Linked DNA regions of Cricetulus griseus. The protein of the gene in region 2 interacts with the protein of the main gene of each other region in a pairwise test. Links are inferred from orthologs where the notes say so. Each region holds a gene or a part of one and is shown on either strand. Other genes may lie near its edges. The genes, in order: Myf5, Id1 and myoblast determination protein 1.

The links.
Region 1: the proteins of Id1 (region 2) and Myf5 interact in binary tests that used the Homo sapiens proteins (3 or more experiments, as listed by UniProt). The link is inferred for Cricetulus griseus from reciprocal best matches to the Homo sapiens genes ID1 and MYF5.
Region 3: the proteins of Id1 (region 2) and myoblast determination protein 1 interact in a two-hybrid assay, tested with the Homo sapiens proteins (5 studies listed by BioGRID). The link is inferred for Cricetulus griseus from reciprocal best matches to the Homo sapiens genes ID1 and MYOD1.

What each region holds. Positions count from the first base shown.
Region 1 is NW_023276806.1:147,625,940-147,629,649, reverse strand, and holds Myf5 (myogenic factor 5), read right to left. Parts: upstream 2,602-3,710; coding exon 2,101-2,601; intron 1,350-2,100; coding exon 1,274-1,349; intron 731-1,273; coding exon 540-730; downstream 1-539.
Region 2 is NC_048599.1:27,271,130-27,274,352, forward strand, and holds Id1 (DNA-binding protein inhibitor ID-1), read right to left. Parts: upstream 1,781-3,223; 5' UTR 1,687-1,780; coding exon 1,268-1,686; intron 1,031-1,267; coding exon 976-1,030; 3' UTR 600-975; downstream 1-599. UniProt on the Homo sapiens protein: Transcriptional regulator (lacking a basic DNA binding domain) which negatively regulates the basic helix-loop-helix (bHLH) transcription factors by forming heterodimers and inhibiting their DNA binding and transcriptional activity.
Region 3 is NC_048599.1:155,322,156-155,325,747, reverse strand, and holds myoblast determination protein 1, read right to left. Parts: upstream 2,351-3,592; coding exon 1,724-2,350; intron 1,276-1,723; coding exon 1,197-1,275; intron 882-1,196; coding exon 628-881; downstream 1-627. UniProt on the Homo sapiens protein: Acts as a transcriptional activator that promotes transcription of muscle-specific target genes and plays a role in muscle differentiation. Together with MYF5 and MYOG, co-occupies muscle-specific gene promoter core region during myogenesis.

The DNA.
Region 1 (3,710 bases), on a different chromosome or scaffold from region 2:
TTATCCACAATGTACTATTTATTGCTTACATTGAAAAGAAGAATTTCTTACAAGAAAAGATGAAAATATATACCATTGACAGCACTGTTATATTTTCATTTGATGTAATATAAACAAAAGATTAAAGAGAAAAGCAAAAGTTAAATATATTTTGAATTCCCTGTAATGGATTCCAAGCTATTAAAATGTTTTTGAAGACAAAAATAGAGATCTAAATATGAAAGTTATTTTGATGAGCAATATTTACATTATAGATGTATAAATTAAGAATTACTATAAGCAACTGTCAATTAATTGCCACCACCAGAAAAATATTTTTGGAACCGTGAATCTAAAACAAAGGGAAGCTGAAAATGAAGACAAAGACAAATGAAGACAAAGAATGGGCAGAGGAGAAGTCATCATTGCAAATATGACTTTCAGTTAAATACATTTTCTTATAAAGTGTCAAGATGATATTTACAACTGAAAAGCACATATTATCCACAATTTGCCATCACTTCGGACACGTGGGGGCATCATTCCTCCCGTGTGTTAGTTCATAATACATGATAGATAAGTCTGGAACTGGAGGCTCCTGGGGTTGCAGGCTGTGAATTGCTGCTGGCAGCTGGAGAGAGAGATGCTGTGTCCTGAAGAGACAGCTCGGTTCTCTCTGCCGTCGTGATCCGATCCACTATGCTGGACAAACAATCCAAGCTGGATAAGGAGCTTTTATCTGCAGCACAGGCTAACAGTACAAGGAGAAAAGTGGTTTGAAAAAAATGTTATCCCCACACAGACAGGCTTGCTTATGCTGCCCTTTAAACTGTAGGTCAGCACCTTTGACAGCATGGGTCAGGTGATCACAGAGCCTGATGTAAGAATTTGCAGCAAATATCTAGCAACTCCTGAGGGTGGAGGTGTGGAGGGAAGAAGAAGAAGAAGAAAGAAGAAGAAGAAGAAGAAGAAGAAGAAGAAGAAGAAGAAGAAGAAGAAGAAGAAGAAGAAGAAGAAGAAGAAGAAGAAGAAGAAGTGTGTGTGTGTGTGTGTGTGTGTGTGTGTGTGTGTGTGTGTGTGTGTGTGTGTGTGCATTCGGGCATGCATGTGGTCTATCTGTTTGTCTCTTAGGGTAATCTGGAGCAGAAAATGTGTTTATTCTGTCAACGCCTTCCCATGACAGCCATCACTTCCATTCCTCCCAGTACTACTTGGAAGTTCAGACACTGCGAAGACAGGCTGAATTGCGAGACTGAAAAGATCTTTAAATGTGTCGGAAGTCATCAGTTCTTACCGTTCGACACTTCAGGACAGTAGACATTGTCAAAGCTGCTGTTCTTTCGGGACCAGACAGGACTGTTACATTCAGGCTGTAACACGCAACACACAGAATTGTATTGTCAAGCCTTTGGCAAAAGACGTCCAGACCTGGGGTGATATAGTACCGGACCCCAGCTCGGTAAACTGACTGCTCCTAGTCGTTCCCCCGTCCCCACCCCCCGGCTACAACACTGAAATAGGAAGGGGCTGCTGCCTCCAAATCACCAGGGCACCAAGGTCAGGCTCTATGCTGGAAGAAGAGGGAAGACGATGGAATCCTGCAGCAGTGTGCACTGTGTTATAACCATGCAAAATGGATTGCAATAGAAGGAAGCCGGACTAATTGTGGGAGAGAGCACTTTCCCAGGGCAAAACGGCGTTAAAATCTGGAACACTGGACCAGATACCTTTGGAAAGAAAATGTACTAACATTTCTTTCCAGCTTGGCCTCAGAGCAGGGATCGGGACCATGCTAGGAATTCTAATTCTTCCCTGAGTTATAAACTTGGGATTAGCTGTATGTCAGGGTCCACACTGATATATTTTGGAAACAACAGCAAAATCACTTAATCATTTAAATTAACCTGGGGTACATGACAACCTTTTTACTACCCATGTACATGCATATACACCCAGCTGGGAAATCAAAGGAAAATCTTGTGTAACAGTTTTTCTTTGCATCTTACTGTGAACACATCTCTGAAATCAACGGTTCCACTGTACCTGGTTTAGATGAGGTACGAGGAGGGCTTTTCACATAAACTAGGGCAGGAGAGAGTGGGTCTTGGAGTTGTGGCTTACCATGCCATCAGAGCAGTTGGAGGTGGGGCTGGTGGGCTCTGAGCAGCTCTGTCCGGGCAGGCTGTAATAGTTCTCCACCTGTTCCCTCAGTAGCTCCTGCAGGCTCTCGATGTAGCGGATGGCATTCCTAAGGATCTCCACTTTGGGGAGCCTCTGGTTGGGGTTGCTCGTGGTGCACCTCTTGAGCGTTTCGAAAGCTTGGTTGACCTTCTTTAGGCGTCTGCGCTCGCGCATGGTGGCGGCCTTGCGTCGGTCCATTGTGGTGGACTTCCTCTTGCAGGCTTTGCAGGCCCACATGAGGCAGTGGCCAGCCTGGTGGTGGCCACTAGGTGCTCGCACGTGCTCATCATCATCGGAGCCCTGCAGCTCAGCTTTGTGCCCTCCGAAGGCAGTCACTCTTGGTTCAAACTGGTCCCCAAACTCACCCTCAGGGGAGGGGATGCAGGAGCTCTCGTAGAAGTATTCAGAAGGTGAGAACTGGCAGCCATCCATCATGTCCATGCTTCAGAGAGGCAGGTGGGACACCTGGATTCAGCAAAGCAGGAGAAACGGGTGTCCCTGGTTGCTGCAGGCCAGCAAATCCCAGGCAGAGTTCCGCGTTTGGGATTGTTTCTCTGTAATTAACAAGGACAGACGCCTGTTGGTCAGGGTGGGTTGGTGCCTGAGGTTGGGGCTCTTTATATGTTCTTGGGGGATGGGAAGGGAGGCTGGTCCCTGTAGCTGGGCATTATTAGCATATCCCCCCACAACCCCCACAGGGGTTGGCTAGGCAAACCTCTCTCTGCCTTTCTTCTAAAGACAATTTGCTGTTTACTGGCTACTTCGACACAAATGATTTTTACTACAGCCCAGCCTGCTCAGTGGCCTTCTGGCTATTCCAAACCTGGGGATCACTTAAGGAGGCGGGTGTCTTGAAATCGATCGTACTTTAACGCAATCAGCAGCAGCATCGTAATAAGGCATTAAATTCTGTATTTCCATCTGAGGCCAAAGGAAACCTAGAGGCTGGAGGAGTCACTGATTTATTCTGGGGAGTGGGTGTGGGGGAGAGCTTGTATCTCATTTTCTTTACCTAAAGAGATTTTTGTCAGTTTGTACCCTTATAATTGTTGTTTTAAAAAATGAAGTGACATTTTCATTTCTGGAGAGAACCTAGAATGTCCTGTTTCAAAATCTGTTTGGTAAAGACTCAAGGAGAAAAGTTAGCATGAGTTGGTCATTCCATGGGTTCGACATTCTCCAGGGCTTCCTTTTCAGACCTGGCTCTGTCAGACATCATATTATTTTCTTCTGCTTAAAAAGGAAATGTCTTCAGGTGGACCAGGTGATCCGCCAGCATCCCACCCCTCCTAGCTTTCTTCCTTTCTTCCTTCCTCACACACTTGTCTGTTGCCTTTCTCTCTGTGCCTGCACTAGTCTAGTACCTGCACCGGGCAATTCCCACGCCTGTGGATGAGCAGAAGTCCAGTTTCTCACAGAAAACTCCCTTCCCAGTGTGGAATGGAGTGTACTTTCTCCAGAGCTTTCTGCTCCGCCCTATCACTTCTACAGACTAAACAGCCAGCCAGGCTTTGGGTCGCTAATTTTCTGCTTTCAGGCCAGCTAACACC
Region 2 (3,223 bases):
TGGCCCTGCAGCTGTACACAGCCTAACCCTGCCAATTTCATCACCCACTTGGACAAGCTGAGAGCCCTAAGGCAGCCTGCTGGCATCCAGAAAAAGGTGGCTCAGCGGGGAAGGGGGGCCACACAAGTCCTGCTTCAGGCAAGATCTGACCCTATGCAGGCTCCTTTGCCTAAGGTCTCATCACACAACACAGACACACACCCCTGCCCTTGGCAAGGAATCGAATGGTCCAGTGACCTGTTTTTCCAACTTGAATGGCATGAATATTCCCCAGCCCAGAGCAGGCCAACCCAGCAGGTCCATCTGCATTTTAACAACCTCCTCCCCCTGGGTGATCCAGATGGCCCAGCCACCACTTTGAGAGAAGCCCTACTAGAGGTCTAGAGGATTTAATTTTATGACACCAGGGAACAGGGAAATGGCCAGGGATGAAGGAAAAGAATAGACATTAAAGACACCGGAAACACTCATTCAGGTCGGAAAGAATGACAGTCCAGATGTGCCCCTCCAATTCCTAGCTTCTCAACACCAGCTGTGAAAATGGTCAGAGGTCACTCCTGCCCACAGACCCCTCCCCCATCCAAGAAGTCACTACAACGTATATAAAGTATTTGTTTAATAACAACAAAAAACCCACCCCCATAAAACTATTGTAAAACAATATTCTTAGCCAGTGATCATTGTAATATACAATACGAAACATTTCCTCAGAAATCTGAGAAGCACGAAATGTGACCATTTAAAAAAAATGTCTGCTTTTCGAAAAAATAGAAACATACGGGGTTGGTTAACTACCCCCTCCCCAAGTCTCTGGGGGGCTGAAAGGTGGAGAGGGCGAGCCTCTGCTGGTCAAGCCTCTGAGCCCCGTGACCAGATCCAAGGTGGCCGCGACAAGAGTCTTTCCCCGGGCTCTCCCGGGGAACCGCGAGCACTTTATTCCTCTTGCCTCCTGAAGGGCTGGAGTCCATCTGGTCCTCAGTGCGCCGCTTCAGCGACACAAGATGCGATCGTCGGCTGGAACGCATGCTGCCTGTGAACACCAGAGCGAGATAAGGAATGAGACAGGATGGAAAGGCAAGAAGGGGAGAGGCGTTCCCACTTCTGCACTCTTAAGGGCCACGGTGAAGAAGCCAGTTTTTTTTCTCCCCCAATTAGGCGTCCCTAAATAGCCATGCGCCCGAAAAGTAAGGCAGACATACTGCTAACCCCTCCCCATGGCCTCAGTTTCCCTATGCACAGGAGAATAATGTAATGTTTCGACTCGGACCTCACCTCGGCCGCCAAGGCACTGATCTCGCCATTCAGGGTGCTGAGCGGAGCCCGAACCGGCAGCCCCCGGCCTCCAGCTGTCCCGACTTCGGATTCCGAGTTCAGCTCCAGCTGCAGGTCCCTGATGTAGTCGATAACGTGCTGCAGGATCTCCACCTTGCTCACTTTGCGGTTCTGAGGCAAGGTGGGCACCAGTTCCTTGAGGCGGGAGTAGCAGCCGTTCATGTCGTAGAGCAGGACGTTCACCTGCTGCTCGTCCAGCAGGGCGGGAAGGCGCGTCCCGGCGCAGCGCGAGATGGCTACGCTCTGCTCGGACAGGCCAAGCACAACCTCGCCCGCGCCGCCCGCCGTCCTGCCCGCCTTCAGCGAGCAGCTGGGGCCCGCGGTGGCCGCGGTGCTACCACTGGCGACCTTCATTATCTTGAGGACAGGCGGAGAGTCGCGGAGGAGCCTACGAAGGGGGCGTAGGTGGAGAGCGCGCAGAAGTTGCCGGAAGGTTGTACAATGAGAGGGCTCGCGCTGGAGCCAGTCTTTTATAAGGGCGGACCCAGGGCGGGTTCAGGACGTTCAAAAGCAACCAATGGTTTGTCTGGAGGCGTGGTCTAGCGCGCCCTCGGGTCCCAGCTCGGCGCACCCTTAGGCTTATGGAAAGGTGGTTGGTGGGCTTAAGAACAGAAAGGATGGGAGGCCCTGGGCAGAACGGCTAAGCCAATTTTGCAGATAACAAAAAGACCCCAGGAATCTCGTGGTCTTTTTCTCGCTTCTCCAGGTCCATTTTGCAGATGAGATAAACAAACGGAGAAATGGCTGGCTCTGGGGAGGTCAGTAGCTAAGGACTAGCCCAGGGTTTCCAGATGCAATCGGAAGATTGGATTATGATCTCCATTTATCAAAGTTGAATTTTATTTTTGTATTTATTTACCTATGAGGGTTTTGTTTGTTTGGTTGGTTTTGTTCGTCTTGAAACTTAATCTCAGGTAACCCAGGCTGGACTCAGAATTTGCTATGATGCTCATTGCTCCACCTCCCAGGCTGAGATTACAGGTGTGCCCCGCCACATCATATTAAGAGCCCTAGCTTAGTCTGATCTCCGGGGCTGATCTCAATTTCCAGAAAATGAACTGTAAAATCCCTAGGACCAGGACCTAAGTCCACTGGGAACGATACCAGGAACATCTTTAAAGTGGAGGACAGAGTCAGACCTGTACTAGATAGAAGGGTCGCTGTGGAGTGAGACTACAGCCCCCAATTCTACCCTGGATTTGCAGCCTCTTGCAGAAAGGTTCCAAATCTGCAGCAGCTGGTGATTTTTAAAATTTTTTCTCTCTTTTTGCTAGTTTTTTTTTTTTCTTTTTTTTTCTTGAAGCCCTCGGAGCAAGCTCTCCCTCCCACAGAGCAGCAGCTGCGGAGATGGCCCCCTCCCTTTCCTTTCCCGGGCTGGTCTGTGTCAGCGTCTGAACAAGCAGCTCAGACCGTTAGACGCCAGGCCCGTGACGTCACCCATTCATAAAACCCGGACGGGCTGTCAAGCTGGCGCCGCGCGGGCGGTCGTCATGGAGACGGCAAACTGGGCTGGAGCATTCTCCGCTTCTTCCCCCTCCCATGAGCCTGTCACCTGCAGACCTTGGGCGGGAGGCCTGGGAATGCGTTCCTTGTGGGCGCGGTCGCTGACCAAGGGTCAACTTACCTCCCCGCCCCACACCTGCTGAGTCTCCTCCACCCAGCCCCACAGCTCTGGTGGTTTTCTCACACCCTTCCACCCCAAACCCCTCTCGACCGAGGCCCCTCCCCAGATGAGTTGGATTTCTACACTGAGATTACAGGTGTGCTCTGTCATGTCATGTTCTGAGACAGATTTTAAAGCATGCCCTCTTTTCTTCTGGTCTCCGAGACTCAGTTTCCAGAAAATGAACGTGAAGTTCCTAGGACCAGGACGTAGGTCCATTGAACTGGG
Region 3 (3,592 bases), about 130 Mb from region 2:
GGAATAAACAAAGTTCTTGTTTCACTACACAGCATGCCTCAGAGATAAATACAGCCCAGGGGGCTCTGGCTCTGGCCAAGCAACTCTTATTTACACGAATAGATTACAAAAAGTCTTATATAAAAAAAATAAGTGGTCCTGAACCGCGCTTGGGACAGGGGAAGGTGGGGTATGGTTACACCTGTTACACACGGGACTGGAGCGGCTTTCCCGCAGGCTGTGGGAAAGAGCATATATTAGGGGGCCTCCGGAAAATGGGGATCATGTCTCCACAAACAACAGGGACCTGGAGAGCAGGGCCTAGGTGTACCGGGCTCAGCCCTGCTCGAGGAGCTGCGAGAAAGGAAGAAACCCTGGCGGTTAGGGGCAGCAAGTGGCTGTCTTTTGTGAGTCACATGAAAAAAATAAAATAAAACAACGACAACAAATGGACTGCGTCCTTTCCTTGGGGACCGCTGTGGGGACAGATTTCTGCTCCCCCTTTTCCAGCCTCTGGATGTGTGGCTTTGAAAGGACAGTTGGGAGGAGTGTCATTTAAGCTTCATTTTTGGGGGTGTGAAGGACCTCCCACCCCCCACTCCCCCGAGGCGTGTAGGCGGTATGCCCTCTCCTACAGCAGCTGACCTCTCAAAGCATCTGATAGGTCGGATTGGCGTTCGCGACTACAGGGCACTGCAGGGAGGCATCAGGGGACGACGGGGTCTGGGCCCCCTGTTCTGTGTCGCTTGGGGATGCACCTTCTGGAGGACCTGGAGGAGATTCTGGAGATGCATCTGCCAGCAGCAGAGCAGGAGCAGCGGGGCTGTCCGTGGAGATGCGCTCCACGATGCTGGATAGGCAGTCGAGGCTCGACACGGCTGCACTCTTCCTTGGCCTGGACTCTATAGGGGGAGGGGAAGGTTAGTATTCCAAGCTTGAGTCTCTTCAAGTCTCTTACACTCTCTCCCCACTCCATCAGAACACAGAGCTTTGGAGCAGAAGAGAAACTGAGGACTTGCCAGACTGAACGGAGAAAGAAGAGGAAGGTGCACACTGTTTAACCCCTAACCAGCCCCCTTCGTAGTCCCAAGATACAAGTGTGTTTGTGATGGAGGCAGGGAGGGGGGTACTGAGCCTGGGGAGCAAGGACAGCTTCAAGGGGGACATGGAAGGCAATTCCCAGCTGCTAGCTGGGAACAGCTGAGAATACGCACCACCGCTGGAGGCCTCGCTGTAGTAGGTGGCGTCGTAGCCATTCTGCCCCCGGGGGCCTCTCGGGGGGCCAGTGTAATCCATCTGCGAATAGCAAGAATGATGGAGTCAGATCCTCGGGGCGTCTCAAGCACTGCTCCTTGTCACCGCCCCTCCCTCACTCCCCTAGTCTCAGCTGGGGGCGTTCCAGGACTGGGTCAGCCCTAGTTAGGAAGTAGGAGCCAGCAAACATTGAAATATATCGCATGCAGGGCCAAACTGAGACTGGATGGTGACCCAGGAACAACAACAACAAATCTACATTTGGGTGATACGGATTTGGGGAGAAAACGTATGTCCTGTGGTCTGCATAGCAGTATTTTGATGCCACCCCCACTAGGCAAATCACAGATGCCCAGGGTCTCCAGAGACCCCAGTCACATGCCAGGCACACCTGGGTCTAAAGAACTTCCCCAACCCTAACGGACTCAAAAGCATTCCAGATTCCCCAGGTGCCACCTGCACTTGGCCTTCTTCTGAGACCCGGCCTTACCATGCCATCTGAGCAGTTGGAGCGTGGGCTGGAAGCGTCTGAGTCGCCGCTGTAGTGCTCACTGCCTCGGCCTGGGGGCAGCGGGCCGGGCGAGTAGAAGGCAGCCGCGCCAGGGGGTGCTGCGTCCTGGTCGCGCAGCAGAGCCTGCAGGCCTTCAATGTAGCGGATGGCATTGCGCAGGATCTCCACCTTGGGCAGCCGTTGGTTCGGGTTGCTGGACGTGCAGCGTTTGAGCGTCTCGAAGGCCTCGTTCACTTTGCTCAGGCGGCGCCGCTCGCGCATGGTGGCGGCCTTGCGGCGATCAGCGTTGGTGGTCTTGCGCTTGCATGCTTTGCAGGCCCACAGCAAGCAGCGACCAGCCTGGTGGTGCCCACTGGGTGCGCGCACATGCTCATCCTCGCGAGCACCTGAGCCTGGGTGCACCGTGGTAGGGAAGTGTGTGTGCTCCTCCGGTTTCAGGAGGGTCCCCACGTGCACCAGGCGCGGGTCCAGGTCCTCGAAAAAGCGCAGGTCCGGTGAGTCGAAACACGGGTCATCATAGAAGTCGTCGGCTGTGGCAAAGGAGCAGAGAGAGCCGTCGGGGCCTGTCAAGTCTACGTCCCGGAGTGGCGGCGACAATAACTCCATATCCCAGCTCCTGGGCTTCTCGGTCCTGCCTCTAGCTCAACTCAAGTCTCAAGAGTCACTTTCTGCCACTCCTGAACTCCGACAGTACAATGACAAAGTGCTGAGGATTGGACTGCACACAGGCTGTCCTCTACCTCCCCTCCCTGGTCTGTCGGAGTTGTGGCGAAGAAAGCAATCGTCCTGGGACTTCCTCGCCCCAAGCTTCGCGCCAGGCGTCCAGGACTATTTATCCAGGGTAGCCTAAAAAGCCCGGGAGCTGGAAAGGGAGGCTGGGGGCGGGGGTGTCCTAAACCAATAGGAGTGCAGCAGGGCGGAGCGTGGGGTCCCCAGGGTAGCCACTGGGGCCAGGGAGTGCCCCCTCCCGCGGCTCTGCGGTGGGGCAGGGAGGAGGGCAGACACTGGCGGGCAAACACCCTCCGCCCTCCTTTGCACTTGGTTACCAGATGCAGCCTGCCCAAGCCTCTCCAGTGCGCCTCCGCGAAGCCACAGCGCTGACCTTGGACCTCACTGTCTCCTGATTTGTGGGGAAACCAGGCACAGAATAGGAATTAGAAATCAGATTGCGGGAGATTTGTAGAGAGTCACAAGGCAACAGGGCAAAGAACCTCCAGAGAAGAAGCCGCGAAATGGTGACACATCCTTAGAAGTTGAGCCGAAGACGACGTGAGCAAGAGACAGTGAGACTCCAAAGGTTTAAGTGGGCAAGCCTGAGACAAATGACTTGGTGGCAGTGATATTTGGCTGATTGCGGATCTGGACACCGCCCAGAGAGCGCCTGGTCTTGCCCATCTTCCTCAGGAAGCTTAGGAACCCGGTTCAGTCTCTGCGGTAGTTGGGAGATCAGCATTAAAACTTCAAGCCATTCTACTCAAAATCAGGGTGGACGGAGGGAGGAAACGAGCGAAGAAGGAAGGGAGAGAGGCTCCACTCAACTTAACCAGCTGGATTCCTTCTGTGGATATCTAGAGAGCCACAGGGGTCTGGGTTGATCTGTTTCTACAGCTAAGACGAAAGCCAGTTTGCTGCAATTTTGTGTCCTCTTGTTCTGAGTCGAGCCCCAGGAAGTGCCTTTCTTAAGTGTCATGATGGCCAGGACCTGGCCTGAGGACCTCACCAACAGTGCAGTTTGCATAACTTTGTGGAGGTGACCTCTTCCCAAGTCTGTTTCCACTTCATATCCAGGGATAATGACAGTATCCAGGAGTAACTGTGGTCGTGGTTGAAAATCTAAAGGGAGGGGAG